4 linked regions of the Schizosaccharomyces pombe genome follow. The gene in region 4 interacts genetically with the main gene of each other region. Each region holds a gene or a part of one and is shown on either strand. Other genes may lie near its edges.

Region 1 (4,719 bases), 2.2 Mb from region 4:
AAATGGTAACCAGGCTGTAATGATGTTATTTTAGCATCCATTGTTATGCAACTAACAGGCAAATGACCACTTAAAGTAGCTTTTAACTTATCAATTGGCGCTTGAGATAAGAAATCCTTTAAAACGACCTTTGCTGACATCGATGATTACTTTCTGAAACGCTTTGCACATTGACTTTTCAAGTAGGCAATTTATCAATACTGAAGGTGATCTATTAGAAATTATTATAAATTAGCCGAAGCAATTATCCCTAAGAAGACCTCAACTTTTAAAATCGGAAAGGACAAATCTTTGAAGCAATAAGCTCTTAATTTTATGGAACCTAATAACTTTAACAGCTACACATTACTAATTGCTTTTGGCACGACCCAAATTGCTTAAGGTATACGTGTAATGCTTGTTTTATACCGTTAGTGGAGACTTGACCTCTTTTAGCAATGAAGTACTAGCAAAATTTATGATAATCGCACATCTAATAAAAGATAATTTCACCAAATGAAAAAAAAAACCACCTAAGCAATTAATATACGATTTAAGTCACATACATTTAAATTAAGCCCTTGTTGGTGAATCTTTATTAATTATTAATCGTTTATGAACGCTGAAGTACCTTAACCTGTTAATTGTAAAGATCATTTCTATATAATGTTAATAGGTCATCAATGAGCCGCTTTTTCATTTTCAAATCGAATTTGACATTGAGGTGTTGATTTACATCTATTGAAAATGAAGGAGCAACCGATTTGCCTATATATTTTCATGCCTCTTTTTTTGCTTGTTTTTTGTTTCATATTCATCAATGTACAACGTGCTATTGGATTACAACACGTTATTATGGTAAACCGAACGATAACGAGATTCATTCGTTGTAACCACATAATACAAAAAGCAACTTTACTGTTTTGAGAAAGAGCAAGCATACCATGAACTATCTTGAAGGTACGATCGATTTTGCAGGACAATTAAGGTGTCAAAAGTATATGAACTATGGTCTATGTACAAGTGCTGTATGTCAGGGATAAAATCTCATTTATTTACTAATATATCTATAGGTTATTTCGTACATTTATGGGTATTTAGTTCAAGATTCTTATTGTGTGATTAAATTGTTTTTAATTTTAGCATCGTTGGTGGCTCTTGTAAGCTAGTTTTTTTGCTTCTAGTCATGTAATATTAACATTCATTTAAAAATAGGTGTGTCTTCCTGCTTGGTCTATGTACAACAAAAACCCTTTAAAATTTCAAAAGAAAAAGGAGTAAGCGGGAAATGGGGAATCTTTCTTTACTTGAATCGCAATCTCGCGAAATTAAAGAACCAAAATACCAAACAAAAGTTGCTCCGGCTTTATAGAATACAAATAATCTTTCATTCCAAAAGTAATGCTAAACATGTTTTAACAACTTTTGTCCGAAAACCTTTTTTTAAACGCACATTTTTTGCATATCCACAATACACGATCGATAGATGGATTTTTCCGTGATGGTTCCTCAAATCTTATTGAACATGACTTTCCTGGTACCAATAAAGAGTTACATCCTTTACATATGGTGCGCTTTATATCTGGGTGTATTCGCATTACTGATTTTTGTGAAACATCCTTGGCTGTAGAGATATAGTGTCTCGACAATGTAGGTTCTTGAACGTTTCTAAAAAGTAATTGCGAAGCCTGGTATAAATATGATACCCTTGCATGTTGGTCCTTTGACTTTGTACTCATCTCGACCGTTTATGTTTAAAACACTTGAGCTATTAAAGGAATTGCAAAACAGAGAACAAACAACTTTCCGTTTTTATAATGGAATGCAAAAGTCAAAAAAATTATTTTTAACTTAACAATTTAATTATGTTTCTTATAAAAATCCTTCATTAAATTAATTAATAAATAGTTAATGCTTGTTGCAGTCTGATTTTACCATAGGTCAAATTTTTAATTTGTTTTTCCACGGTAAACTGCGTTATGTAATTCTTTGTAAAAGAGTACGATAAATTTTTAAGGCTTTTGGATCAATTATAACCGAGATATAAAGAGAGCACATATGTTTATTCAATTAAAAAAAAATCGGTCTTGAGTTTCGCTTGGGTTTATATGATTAATTTCTCTTACCTATAAATAGTGAGAAATCATATATTCGTAAGCTATTATTAATACTTGTTCTTTTTAGCTGATGATGTGGAACGAACAAGAGCCTAATATTTTCATGTATTTTAATGATTTTCTTGTAAAACAGTAGCTTTAGTATTTTCTGACAAAGAACTTCTGTTTGATTGTTTACATTTTTAAATAGTGAGCTAAATAATTTAGAGTCTATGCTAGTCGCGACGCGTCAAACCCCTGTCAAAACCAAAACTCATTGTATCGAGCTCTTGCATTTGTTCCAACAATTACTGTTTAAAAACCTTTATTCCCAAAAGAAATTGATAGGAACAACTTAATATGGCAAAGAAATCTTTAATGGCTGAGCCTGGAGATCCTATTCCACGGCCACGTAAAAAGAGATATCGTCCAGGTACTACGGCGTTAAGAGAGATTCGAAAATATCAAAGGTCTACAGACTTATTAATACAAAGGCTCCCGTTTTCAAGAATTGTACGAGAGATATCTTCAGAATTTGTAGCCAATTTTTCAACGGATGTTGGTTTGCGCTGGCAATCTACGGCACTGCAATGTCTTCAGGAAGCGGCTGAAGCGTTCTTGGTTCATCTATTTGAAGATACGAATTTATGTGCTATTCATGCTAAACGAGTGACGATTATGCAACGAGACATGCAATTAGCCAGGAGGATTCGTGGTGCTTGACACTATATATTCAACAAAAAAAAATAGTTTTACGCTTAATCATATTGAAATTGGAATTGCTAAGGTATGATCAGTTTAATTGATATCAGGTGATTTTGAGACAGATCTTTAGCTACTCATTATAAGACTCTAAGCATGCTATCTACCAAAGAATTATTAAAAAAAATGTACGAATATGCTCATAATGAATGATAAATCTCACTCCTAGTTAATGCCATGTGAGTACCGAAGCAACGCAAATTAGATCACGTCTTGTTTCGCTTCATTATTATTCAGGCTGGAATCCTGGTCATCAATCTTATTTCCATACTTCCTTTTACTTTTTTTCTCTCGCTGTTTTTTCTTCTTGACAATACGTTGAACTTTTCTTGCTAAAAGACTATCGTTCCCGTGTTTGAATTCATCTACTTTCTCCGTTAACCGTTTCCTTGCAATACAACGATTTTGTTCACGTGAACGTGTGTCTTGAGATCGAACGATAATTCCCGTCGGAATATGTTTGACTTGGGCCACTATGCTAGTTTTATTTATTTTTTGTCCACCAGGGCCCTTTCCACATATAAATGTTTCCTCAATATCTTCTTCTTGGAGTCTTTCTAGTTGATAAGGTGTTTCTTTTTTAGAGCAATACCATGTATGCCGAAAATTTAGTTCTGCCAGACAAGAAAATGCATTTAGTCTTACTGAAATAAATGTTTTGTTCAAACACTTTCGTGCTGCGCACAGCATCTATGTTCACCTAAACGTGTTACTGCTAATAAATAGACAAACTTGACTAAAATAAACAACCTTGTCCTTTGGAATGATAATAGGCGGTCTGGTTGATTAGCGTGAAACTTGCTTAATACATTAAAAAGTTATAAGGGGATTTTGTATTATTGCTTTTCTCAAAGGTTACTGTTACAAAAAAGAAGAAAACAGAAACTTCTAAATTAGCAGAAAATTCACGATGTTGGAATATCGATGAACAAAATTGCGCACTTATTGCATAAGTTTAAAACTCTTTAATGTAATATTCTATTGTCACACTGCCCCAATAATATTTGTTTGGCATAATGCAATAGATACTGTATTACATTACATGCACAGAAGAATTTTTTTTTTTTTTTTTATTTTCACCTTTACTCTCACTCGAGTAGTGTTTTGCCTGCTTTCCAATTGACACCTCTTCTGTTTAGTCTAAAGTTTTTCGTTCAATAATTTAAAAAAGTCTTAATTTTCTTTAATTTGCTCGTGACTCAACATAAAAATAACATCAATGAGAGCATACATTTTCCAAGACGAAGGCGATCAAAGAAAGCCGAATGACTCAAAGATTGAAGTTTCAGCTGAAGATTTAGAAGCTGCTAAAGTGTCCTATAGACATCATGATGGAGATCTACATACCTTCGCCGATGGCCTTATGAAAGAATATGGATTTAAAAATCGGGATGAAGTTGTTGTTAGTAGAAAAGGACTTGGAGATCGTTATGACAATATGGTAAAGAAGTTCTTTGAAGAACATTTGCACGAAGATGAGGAAATTCGATTAATTCTCGATGGTAATGGTTACTTTGATGTCCGTTCTGTCGATGATAGATGGGTTCGAATTTTTGTTGAGAAAGGCGACTTAATAATACTTCCTCCTGGAATTTATCATCGTTTTACTACGACCACTGATGACTATATACACGCAATGCGCTTGTTTCATGAAAATCCAAAATGGATTGCATTGTCTCGCACAGATTCAACCAGCGAGGAACTGGATGCACGAAAAAGTTATTTGAACAGTATTAAAAAAAGTGTTTATGTTTAATTAGGTATATGCAACAACTGATTTATATCAATAATCTTACGTATGGATTAACACTAGATATTAATAAGAAACTTCCTTTATAAGGGTTTAATGTACAATAAAGATAGTAATAAATATAGTCACTAA
Region 2 (3,661 bases), on a different chromosome or scaffold from region 4:
TGACTTACGACAATAAAGACTCTTTGAAAAATATGAATAGCAAATTAGTGGACTATTTTCAATGGAGAGAACAATATAGAAAGATGAGTAAATCAATCAAGAAACCAGAGCCTTCCAAGGAGCGAGAGGCTTCTAATACAACGTCTAGAAAAGGTGTTCCACCTTCAAAGAGAAGAAGGGTAAGAGGTGGAAACAATGCCACTTCACGCACAACTTCTGATAATACAGATGCGAATGATTCTTTTAGTAGGGATTTACGCCTAGAGAAAATGTACGCTAATTATTAGGTTTTACACGCTAATAAGTCTAGTCTGCTCTCACACTTATCCAAACGTTATGAACCTGAAGTGGGCAATGATGCATTTGAAGTTATTGATGATTTCAATTCCATCTATATCTATTCCTACAATGGTGAAAGAGATGAGTTAGTATTAAATAATTTAAGACCTCGGTACGTTATTATGTTCGATTCTGATCCCAATTTTATTCGAAGAGTCGAGGTTTACAAAGCTACATATCCCAAAAGATCTCTAAGGGTTTATTTTATGTACTATGGAGGATCGATTGAGGAGCAAAAATATCTTTTTTCTGTAAGGAGAGAGAAAGATTCATTCTCTCGTCTTATTAAAGAACGATCTGTAAGTTATTCTAAACTTTTCAAAACTTGCTAATCTAAAAAGAATATGGCTATCGTACTGACGGCTGATTCCGAAAGGTTCGAAAGCCAAGAGTCAAAGTTTTTAAGAAATGTCAATACTCGTATAGCTGGAGGAGGACAGTTATCGATCACAAATGAGAAACCTAGGGTACGTTCATTATATCTTATGTTTATATGTATTAAAACGTTAAAGGTTATCGTTGACTTGAGGGAATTCCGTAGTTCGTTACCTTCCATATTACATGGAAATAATTTTTCTGTTATCCCTTGCCAACTCTTAGTGGGAGATTATATATTATCACCAAAGATCTGTGTTGAAAGGAAGTCAATTAGAGATTTGATCCAATCATTAAGCAATGGCCGTCTTTATTCCCAATGTGAAGCTATGACTGAATATTATGAAATTCCAGTTTTGTTAATTGAATTCGAACAACACCAATCTTTTACATCTCCAGTAAGTCTGACTAAAACAATCTATGTCTGACAGCTTTTAGCCTTTCTCCGACCTTTCAAGCGAAATTGGAAAAAATGATGTTCAATCTAAACTGGTACTGTTAACATTATCGTTTCCCAACTTAAGGATTGTTTGGTCTTCTAGTGCCTACGTTACATCAATTATTTTTCAAGATTTGAAAGCCATGGAACAAGAACCAGATCCTGCTTCAGCTGCCTCTATAGGTTTGGAAGCTGGGCAAGACTCAACGAATACTTATAATCAAGCTCCACTCGACCTGCTAATGGGACTCCCATACATAACTATGAAAAACTACAGAAATGTGTTTTATGGAGGCGTGAAAGATATTCAAGAAGCTTCCGAAACCTCAGAAAGAAAATGGTCAGAACTAATTGGCCCCGAAGCAGGAAGGCGTCTTTATTCCTTCTTCCGAAAACAGTTAAAGGACTATGAGTAATTTATTTTTTTATAATTTTGTAATATATTTAATTTTTGCTTCTACATCTGATATATATTGGTTCACCATATATAGAATGTTAAGCGCACCTAATTAATAACGACTACTACTAGATAAAATGAACTTTCCATAAGTATGTCCCAGACGGAAACTAGTCATTCGGGCTATATTGATTTTAAAAAAGAGTCACAACCTAGCGTCTTCCAATGTAAAAAATGTTTTCAAATAGTTGGTGATTCTAATGCTTGGGTTATTTCTCATCGAGAATATCTTAGTTTCACTTTGAGTGGTATGTGGTAAAAGAAATGTCCATGTAATTAATTATTTCATTTAGATGCAGTAGAAAATAGTGTACGCGTTGAGGATACGTTTAAAAGGAGTGATGATGGTCTTTGGTATGTTGCATGTGTTGCTCGCCAGTTTACTAATACAAAAATTATAGCGTCTATTCAGAGTTGAGTTGTACTAGATGCAATGAAGTGATTGGGAAGGTGTATAATTCTACACCTATATATCTTGATGATATTAGGTATGTCTAGTCGTACTTGGTTGACCAAATTTTAACAAAATCATGTAGAGATATGTATACTTTTTCAATGGACAAATTACAAGCGTAAGTTCATGATTTCATCTTAGTTACTAACCCCAGTGAAGCTACCAACTAGGTAATAAGACCGTAAATCCTGAAGGCCTTACACGGTATCAAGTTGATTTAGAAATGAGAGAGGACATTATAAAGGCATGTACAGTGATTCTTTATATAGTAGAGAAAAATAAACTTTAAGAAGAATAAATTACTAATTTTATTTGTAGTTGAAGTCCTTTTGTCTCTCTCTATATGAAAAGTTCGAACTTCACGATGAAACTTTACGCTCAGTTAAGGAGACAATATCCAGTTTAAAAAAACCGAAAATTGAGGGAAAGGAAGGTAAAAAAGAAAAGGCAAGAACATACTCTAAACGAACGAGGAAATAAGTCCACCGCTAGAAAGTACTGGGATACCATGTACAAACTGTTATATTCAAACAGTTAAAATTGCGGTTAAAACAAAAAGACACAATTTAAATAATACCTTTTTGATGTATTTTTTCTAAGGTTTTCCTTCTTGCTCATTGTGATATGCATGGGGCTGTCGGTCTCACGAATAAATGTGAGAGTATTTTCATTGAAAGGCTTAAGAATTTTATAGAAGATAGATTGCGTTAAGTTATATTTTTTCCCTACCTTTGGTCGTTCGTTGTTTACTGTTTAGATTATTTCTATCAGTCATTAATGAGTCATCATTGAATCATATGAAGGGCGACAGTCATCTGGATACATATGGGAATCTTCAAAGATACTACTCTATTTAATCCTTCTTTTTCAATGAGTCTTACAATCTTTATTTCACTTGCAACTATTTTGTTTTCCTTCGCTGAAGCCATTTCGGTGGATTTGAATGACACGTCCTCCGTTGACTTAGCCACTTCTTTAGTAGCTGATGGATTATTGAATTATTATGCTGGTCAGCACAAAGGAGGAACTATCGGGATGTTCCTTCCTCCAGCCTACTGGTGGGAAGCCGGGGCTGCTTGGAATGTACGTTGAGCTTAAAAGTATAATTTATTAACAACAATGGCTTTAGGGACTTTTAAATAGATACATTGCCACTGGTAATAGTACATATAACGAGTTGGTAAAGACCAGCATGTTGTACCAATCTGGAGAGGATTCAGATTATATGCCTTCGAATTATACAACATCTGAGGGAAATGACGATCAGGCATTTTGGGGTCTGACCGTTATATCTGCCGCTGAAGCAAACTTTTCAAATCCAGCAGCCGATGAACCACAATGGTTGGAACTGGCTCAAGCTGTATTCAACCAACAGGTCACACGATGGGACACGGATCATTGCAACGGTGGTCTTCGATGGCAGATTACTGAATTTAACTCTGGGTACAACTATAAGAACACTGTCTCAAATGGAGCATTTTTTCAGCTTGCAGCTCGACTGGCTCGATTCACCGATAACGATACTTATGCTGAGTGGGCTAATGTAGCATACGATTGGAGCCAAAGGATTGGGTTTATTCAAGAAGATTACACTGTA
Region 3 (4,287 bases), on a different chromosome or scaffold from region 4:
TGGACGAAATGGTCCTAGGGACACATCTCGTAATAATTCCTCTTCAGATTTATATGCACAGAGCGGGATGCACCCAAATATGAATAACGGTCACAGGGGTGCACCTAGAAATAATTCCTCAAATGATTTGCATGCTCATGGTGGTATGCCAGTCAATATGCGTGGTCCTAGGAACACTTCAAGAAACAATTCTTCAAGTGAATTTAATGCGCAAATTCCAATGAATTTACGTAATGGTCCTAGAAACGCATCTAGGAGTAATTCTTCAACTGATTTGTTCGGTCAAAGTGGCATTCCTGGAAATTCCCGTGGTATGCCAACTTCTCCTAACTCCAGAAATAATTCAGCCTTGGATCTCAGTATGCACGGCATTCCACTAGCAAACAACTCTCGCCAATTCAAGAGACCAAGTTATGGAAATATGTCAAGACCTTCTTTTGAGTTAAATGGTAGTCGTAATCCCTCACATGGCAGCCTGAATACCGCCCATGCCGGCATGGGTTATGGTCCTCGCAGTATGATGAGAGACCCTCAAAATTTATCTAATGTTCCCCCTGTTTCAAATACGTTAGATCAGCTTTCAGGCAACGCTGATTTCGAGCTTCCGGTTCGTGGTAACCGTAATAATAGACGGGGACCTGGTGGAAATCGGATGATCCGTTAATGATTATTCAATTGGACATTTTGTCTTCATTCTGCTAGCTTATGTATAATTTGAGAATTGATAGTTTCGGTAAACTGTCGATTTATTCCCTTAGATTGATTCTTTACTCATCTTCTTTCATTTCATTCATTTTACTTTTATTACAATTTTACTATCTCTTTGGCGAACCTATTAATTAAAGGACTGGTTCCTTTTATAAATTTGCATGCACAGTTTCAATTATTCATTTTACTTATCTTTCCATCTCATTAATATTCTTTCAGAATAAGCATGAGAACAATGACGATATATTGGTATTACATTAAAAATAGTTGTAGGAATTGTGTAGTGCTATCGCAAACAGGTACTTTTTTATGGTTTGTAGAGTATGTGTTTTAAAAGATTTTTTGTTGCATTTATATTTACGGGCCAAAGAATACAGTAATGCAAAAATGTATCTATCATCAGTGTATCTTATGAGTTTGGAAAACAACCAATTGATTAAAAAGTATAATTAAAGATGCTAAGTTGATCGTGATCGTTGACAATAAGGCAAACATAAAGAATGAGGACTGGAGGAATTTCTAATTTACACACTAAGGAAGGATAAATACTTTTTCAAACATTATCAGTTGTTAGCTGATCTTTCTTTTTAGAAGCGATCTTTTGTTTGCCAGACGATTTCTTCTCTTTTGTTTTTTTATCAGAGGCATTTTCGGAAGCTTGAGAAGCAGTGCTATTAGAAACGGGGGTTTTTTTTGGCTTCTTTTTAGATTTTTTGCGATCAGAAACTTTATCTTCTTTGATTACAGCAGCTGCAGATTCAGCAGGTGCCTTTGAAGACTTTTTTGATTCTTGTGAGCTTTTACCAGCTTTTGAATTGTTAGATGCCGGCTTTTCAGCCAAGCGTAGCTTTTTCTTAGCCTTCACAGATTTCTTAGATGGTTTTGATTTTCCTTTTTCTACAACGGCATTTTTTTTCTCAGCAAGATATTGTAGTAATGGAGTAGAGGTTTGTAATTTTTCAATAACATCGTCATTGGACGCAGTTTGCGAATAGCTCTCCCGCTGAACCTTGAATTCTTGAAACTTCGGATCTTGTTCAAGTGAGCCTTCTAAACTATCTGCCTTTACTTTAGAAGGAGGAATCTTTTGATATGGAGCAATTGTGACAATTGCCCTATAAGTGTTGTCTAATGCATGTTTGAGTTAAAAAAGAAAAATTTGAATGGTAACAACTTACTCTTCTTATCTATGAAGGTATGTCCTTGGTATACGCGAAAAAATTCCTGAACAGCCGTGGCGGATTGGAACTTCAAATACGCAAAGGATAGCAATTCAGATCGAGTACTACAAAGGCACGATATTAGTAACTATTTGCAAGAAAGGTTAAAGAAATAAATAAATACCCAACAGTTGCTTTCCCTTTGGAGAATCGGTGCCATTCCACGTGTGGTAAAAATGAGTTGATGGATTGGAGAAACACTTGTTCAGGCAAAGTTGGTGGTAAATTAAAAACGAGGACTTTGCATGGTAATCGTTTTTTTGAGATATCAGGAGCCATCTACATACATGCAATGAAATGCTTAAGGTAGTTCCCCTATTATAGAAAATTGGTGATTGATGATAACCAAAGCTTTTTGTAGGGAGGGTACTTTTGCGCTACTTATTTTAAACAACCTTTCCTTCGTTTACCAGACCAATACAGCAATCTGCAATTTACTGATAAGGTTGCAATCATTTAGCCTCGTTTAAATAACTTAAAGAGATGAAGTAGTGCCTTTTTCTAAATGACGTTACGATGTTCTACCAGTTTTCTTATCCAAAATGCGAGACCAATTTGTTCATCGTTACTATACAATTAAGGAATTGATTATTGGGACAGGTAATTGCACTATTGAGTGCTTCAGTAACCTAAATTTTCGCAACTGTGCATTATTTCATATACCGCATTTTTTTGCTATACCGTTATATTTCAGTCTGCTCGAGTAATCGTGCGTTTATACTCGTTTATTCCACTATAACTTTATTTGCAAATGATGCAGAAGCTGCAAGAATCGTCTCATACTCTGAAAACGGTTTTTTCACCATCAATTAGTGCAATCGAAAGACAAATTTGAAAAACATCTGTATGCTCTAATTAAGTCATCACAATGAAAGTAACTGTATTCGGCAATTGCATACAGAATTTACTCTAATGTAAGCGGGAAGCCATCGCTCGACAAGTGATGACGTTTTCTACTCCACATTCGAATAATGTGGAGGAAAAAAGGTGTTAGCGAGTTTGAGACGATCAAAACTTGGTTTTACCCATTGATAGTTAACAAGGTAGTACGGATTAATAAAAGGACACGTCCAGCAAATTCTCAAGCGTTTTCGCTGGATCGTGATGGTTTGGAAGCGAATGTTTCGGCAACTTCGAAATGTTTCGATTTTTTTTGAGTATCGTAACGTAATTCCTTGACTTCGTCAGAATTCGTTCTCCCCGTTTCTCGAAGCATCTCGAGGGTTAGGGTTGGTGAAGGTTCGAGAATGGACAAAGGTACATAAATAGAGGTTGGGGGACGGCGAAAGGGATATCAACAATTCTTCAAACAGCAATTGTCGTTTCGATTGTTTATTTCGTCTTAAATTAAAAAAAGCATTTTCTAAAGCGCATTTGTGCGAATCTATCGTACCTGTGTTATAATACTTATTAATTCACGTTTATTTTGTTTACGAATTTAATTTCATTCCCCCGTTTTTCATTGATACGAATTTTCTTTACGAACTATTAATACATTTCAAATATGAGCAAGTCTATCGGTATTGATTTGGGTACTACTTACTCGTGCGTCGGTCATTTCTCGAATAATCGAGTGGAAATTATTGCCAATGACCAGGGAAATCGCACGACTCCCTCCTATGTTGCATTCACTGACACAGAACGATTGATCGGTGATGCTGCAAAAAATCAAGTTGCTATGAATCCTCACAACACTATTTTCGATGCCAAACGATTGATTGGCCGCAGATTTAACGATCCCGAAGTCCAATCTGATATGAAACATTGGCCTTTTAAGGTCATCGAGAAGGATGGTAAGCCTTTGATTCAGGTAGAGTTCAAGGGTGAGACCAAGACCTTTACACCAGAGGAAATCTCCTCTATGGTTTTATTGAAGATGCGTGAAAGCGCAGAAGCCTTTTTGGGTGGCAAAGTCACCGATGCCGTTGTTACTGTTCCCGCTTATTTCAATGACTCCCAACGTCAGGCCACGAAGGATGCCGGTTTGATTGCTGGACTAAACGTCCTTCGTATCATTAACGAGCCCACAGCTGCCGCCATTGCTTATGGTTTAGACAGAAGCAACCAGCATGAAACCAATGTCCTTATTTTCGACCTTGGTGGTGGTACTTTTGATGTCTCCCTTCTTACTATTGAAGAGGGTATTTTCGAAGTTAAAGCCACCGCTGGTGATACCCACTTGGGTGGTGAAGATTTTGACTCTCGCTTAGTGAACCACTTTGCCCAAGAATTCAAGCGTAAGAACAAGAAGGACATCACTGGCAACGCTCGTGCTGTTCGTCGACTACGTACTGCTTGCGAGCGTGCCAAGCGTACTCTTTCTTCTTCTGCTCAAGCCAGCATTGAAATTGATTCTTTG
Region 4 (3,169 bases):
TAGCGAGATCACGAAATTGGGGTCAAATGACAAGTTCATATATGCAGGCTGGCCTGCACCATTGCTTGGGGAAAAATAAATCATAATCTAGGACAAATGTTAGAAAAGACCGTTATTAAAAGACGAAAAAAAATAGTCTATCGTAGAATACCACTGTGATACGATTTAACACTTGATGTTTCAAACCCCCGGGGGAGGGGTGTAAAGAATCGTAGAGACTATATACTATTAAGGTTGTAAATAGACTTACCTTTCCGACAAATTTACAAATCCTAACTGTAATGGACAATGGTAAGGTTGCAAACGCAGGCTTTGGAAAATTAAGTAAAAGCTTTGTGTCAACGGTGCAATTAATATTGTCAGTCAGAGAAACAAGCATCTCCGCTCGAAGCTGTGAGGAATTATGCTGATGAGGTAGAACCCGACAATGACTGAAAACCGGAAATCCGTCTCCAAGCGATAAATCTCGCACGTAAATATGATCAACCATAGACTTGTCTTGAGCACCTTTGTTGAGAACAGTTTCAAGTTTTCTCAGGGCAACATCGTTGGAACATGCATCATAGCGAAACTGTATGAGAGCTTGTGCTATTAGTACATTAAACCAATCCAATGATTCCGGCTCATGTTCATTAACATCGTAAAGCAGATTGAGTATATGAGGTTCAAGGATAGTAAGAGGCTTTTTGTACCTTTTTTTGTTATTACTTAAAGGAGTTGAAGGAGTCTCGTCAGGTGTTTCATTCCCCGTTTGTTTTGGAGAGTTTGCTACAGACTTTGGAATTGGACTACAAAATAAAAAGAACCGCAAAAACACATAAATAATGGCCAGTGTCAACAATTGTCCAACTATTAGTCCTTGTGTAAAACTCCCCTGCGGCAGGTGTATCATTTTTGTTCATAAATATACTAAAATACCTCGAATTCGCTAATCCCGAGAATCAAAACCGTAAACGGAAAAATTAGTCTTCGCTCTACAAGAAGAGTATAAATTAAACGTCTCAAATACAAGAGTTAACTGCTTAGTAAGTTGAGGCTTTCTGTAATATATATATATATTTTTTTTTTTTCTTTCTTGTAGGTGGTCTACGTAGCATTTGCAATTACAGAGTTCATTGAGCCTATTTGTTTGAGTCCAAAACCGAAATCAACTAATTAAACTAATGGACTTCAATTAAAAAAGATTATTAGTAAATTCATTAAATAACATGATTTGTTTGAGAAAAGCAACTAATTATATCAAATTATTGACTTTAGATATATAAATCCTTTATGATAATATATATTACATTATGAAATTATAAGAGAATATTACTTTCTTGTACTCTTCACATGTGTATGGCATGCTCATACTCAAGGGTAGGAAATACACTAGTACGCGTTTTACTCTTCCAAAAGGAGTATTAGTTAAAGTATCTTTAATAAACGACAATAATTAGTTATTCTTTCTTTCGTATATTAACGGACTACCTAATTTTCGAAAGTTTCTCCGTCTGTGATATTTTATTAAAATGTTAAGCAAATGGATTTAATGCCGTTAGAAAAAGCAAGAGCAATTGAGATTGCATTTGATAATGTGTTTCATAATACAAAAATTCCGGACAATTTGCAGCAATTTGACGCCATATTGAAACGACTGGAAAGACGGAGATTTATACCAACGGAAAATCAGAAACCAAGAGTGTACGAAACAGAGCTACTTGTACTGCGATTTCGCGAATTTGGGGTGAAAGACAACCATAATCATCCAATAAATCTTCATTCTCTTCGGTCAAAAAGCTTAATCAGGGCACAAGGTAAAAAACTTGATTTACATAATCGAGTATTTCTAAGAAGAAATGTTAGAGCAGTAAAAATGTGATTAGTACCTTTTATACGATAATTTTGATGCATTAGTAACTTACCCAATGTGAACTTTACTGAACTTTATACACAACTTACTACAGAAAAGACTCAATCACTACATGTTACGCATATTTTTAAAGCGTTAATTTTCTATCAAAAACAAAACTGTAAGCGTTCATAACTTCTTTTCAACCCAAATTCACGTTTACATGAATTAAAGTCATAATTCAGCAATATTTTCCATTTTAGCAAAAAAAATCGATATGAGTAGCTTTAACAACACGGTGAAAAAATACCAAAAATAATAATTCTATATAAATCAAATCAAAAGCGGTTTTATTTCAGCTTCTCTCTCAAAAGACAAGCTAGAACATAAAACAAAAGAGAGGGGAGTGTATCAAATAATAAATCTTAAAGTGAATTAGTTATCCTTCTTGCTGGCATAAGTGCGATCATCTTTACCCTCAACGGTGTATTGAACTGTCTCCATAAAGCGAATGCGCTGCTCTTGCAATTTCTCATTGCGAAGTTCGGCGTCAAATAATTCTTGGTCTGGTTGACGATATGAACTGCAAAGACGATCAAACAAGGTGAAAAACTGACCATAATTGTAATTAAAGTACATATGGTGAGCAGCGTGATGAGCAGCACCATTTACGACAGCGTTGTTAGAAAAGTATTTGCCGTCGTGGATGAGTACGGTCCAATAATTTACTGATCCAAAAAGCAATAAGTAAACATACTTATTTAAGGGAAAGAAAAAGGGAAACATATGATATGGAAGGGATTGACTGTATCCATCAAGATAATGAAAAGCGTGAGAAGAGTAAGGAGTTGGAACAATCCATTTGTGATGAAGCTTATGCAAAGGAGCGTAAAGCCAACGATGATGCAAAGCGCGGTGAATCCAGTAAATCAAAAAATCAGAAAATAGAAGGAAAAGCGCGATGGAAAAGAAAAGATAAAAGTAACCATATTCATCAAGCTTATCATAAACATAACCATATCCACGAATTTCAGCAAGAAACCAAGGAGCTGTCAGAATAGCCATACCGGGTAGATTTTTTAAAGCAACCATCAATTCCAGATGCTCCTGATTTTTTAAAAATTTAGGGTGCCTTCTGGCCTCCTCTCGATCAAAGTACACATAATATGCAAAACTGGCAGACAAAAAGTAAGACAATGTGCCCATAATCCAGGTAATGAGGAACAGGCTGGTGAATTGACGCCACACATTGTTACGATCAAGTAATCCCGACGTGATAGCAAAGTTTACTTTCTCAGCAAGACCCAAGGTGGTAGAATTTACAGCAGTATTAGCAAA

The links.
Region 1: mutations in mis19 (region 4) and cnp1 impair growth when combined (synthetic growth defect), as found in Schizosaccharomyces pombe (one study listed by BioGRID).
Region 2: mutations in mis19 (region 4) and mis18 are lethal when combined (synthetic lethality), as found in Schizosaccharomyces pombe (2 studies listed by BioGRID, with this or other methods).
Region 3: of mis19 (region 4) and upf3, a mutation in one rescues a mutant of the other (synthetic rescue), as found in Schizosaccharomyces pombe (one study listed by BioGRID).

Annotation. Positions count from the first base shown.
Region 1 is NC_003423.3:3,536,166-3,540,884, forward strand, and holds cnp1 (centromere-specific histone H3 CENP-A), read left to right. Parts: upstream 1-2,338; 5' UTR 2,339-2,435; coding exon 2,436-2,798; 3' UTR 2,799-3,038; coding exon of another isoform or gene 3,039-3,527; 3' UTR 3,528-3,998; downstream 3,999-4,719. Other genes in the region: 3-hydroxyacyl-ACP dehydratase Htd2, read right to left, coding at 1-140; signal peptidase complex subunit Spc1, read left to right, coding at 924-1,007, 1,053-1,139, 1,195-1,260; RNase P subunit Rpr2, read right to left, coding at 1,395-1,718; pth3 (peptide release factor), read right to left, coding at 3,039-3,527; adi1 (acireductone dioxygenase family protein), read left to right, coding at 4,057-4,593. UniProt on the Schizosaccharomyces pombe protein: Histone H3-like nucleosomal protein that is specifically found in centromeric nucleosomes. Replaces conventional H3 in the nucleosome core of centromeric chromatin that serves as an assembly site for the inner kinetochore.
Region 2 is NC_003421.2:512,814-516,474, reverse strand, and holds mis18 (kinetochore protein Mis18), read left to right. Parts: upstream 1-1,667; 5' UTR 1,668-1,704; coding exon 1,705-1,858; exon of another isoform or gene 1,859-1,903; coding exon 1,904-1,964; exon of another isoform or gene 1,965-2,011; coding exon 2,012-2,098; exon of another isoform or gene 2,099-2,146; coding exon 2,147-2,182; exon of another isoform or gene 2,183-2,223; coding exon 2,224-2,308; exon of another isoform or gene 2,309-2,364; intron 2,365-2,382; coding exon 2,383-2,544; downstream 2,545-3,661. Other genes in the region: rad16 (DNA repair endonuclease XPF), read left to right, coding at 1-271, 311-638, 681-806, 852-1,112, 1,153-1,569; dcw1 (mannan endo-1,6-alpha-mannosidase), read left to right, coding at 2,935-3,147, 3,194-3,661. UniProt on the Schizosaccharomyces pombe protein: Component of the CENP-A recruiting complex that ensures the integrity of mitotic spindles through maintenance of kinetochore factors mis6/CENP-I and cnp1/CENP-A. Maintains the deacetylated state of histones specifically in the central core of the centromeres.
Region 3 is NC_003424.3:2,296,899-2,301,185, reverse strand, and holds upf3 (protein upf3), read right to left. Parts: upstream 2,288-4,287; 5' UTR 2,208-2,287; coding exon 2,053-2,207; exon of another isoform or gene 1,994-2,052; coding exon 1,887-1,993; exon of another isoform or gene 1,837-1,886; coding exon 1,262-1,836; 3' UTR 1,118-1,261; downstream 1-1,117. Other genes in the region: protein Mac1, read left to right, coding at 1-664; heat shock protein Ssa1, read left to right, coding at 3,433-4,287. UniProt on the Schizosaccharomyces pombe protein: Involved in nonsense-mediated decay of mRNAs containing premature stop codons.
Region 4 is NC_003423.3:1,322,209-1,325,377, forward strand, and holds mis19 (protein Mis19), read left to right. Parts: upstream 1-1,522; coding exon 1,523-1,861; 3' UTR 1,862-2,166; downstream 2,167-3,169. Other genes in the region: ERMES complex subunit Mmm1, read right to left, coding at 1-87, 251-892; C-5 sterol desaturase Erg32, read right to left, coding at 2,267-3,169. UniProt on the Schizosaccharomyces pombe protein: Component of the CENP-A recruiting complex that ensures the integrity of mitotic spindles through maintenance of kinetochore factors mis6/CENP-I and cnp1/CENP-A.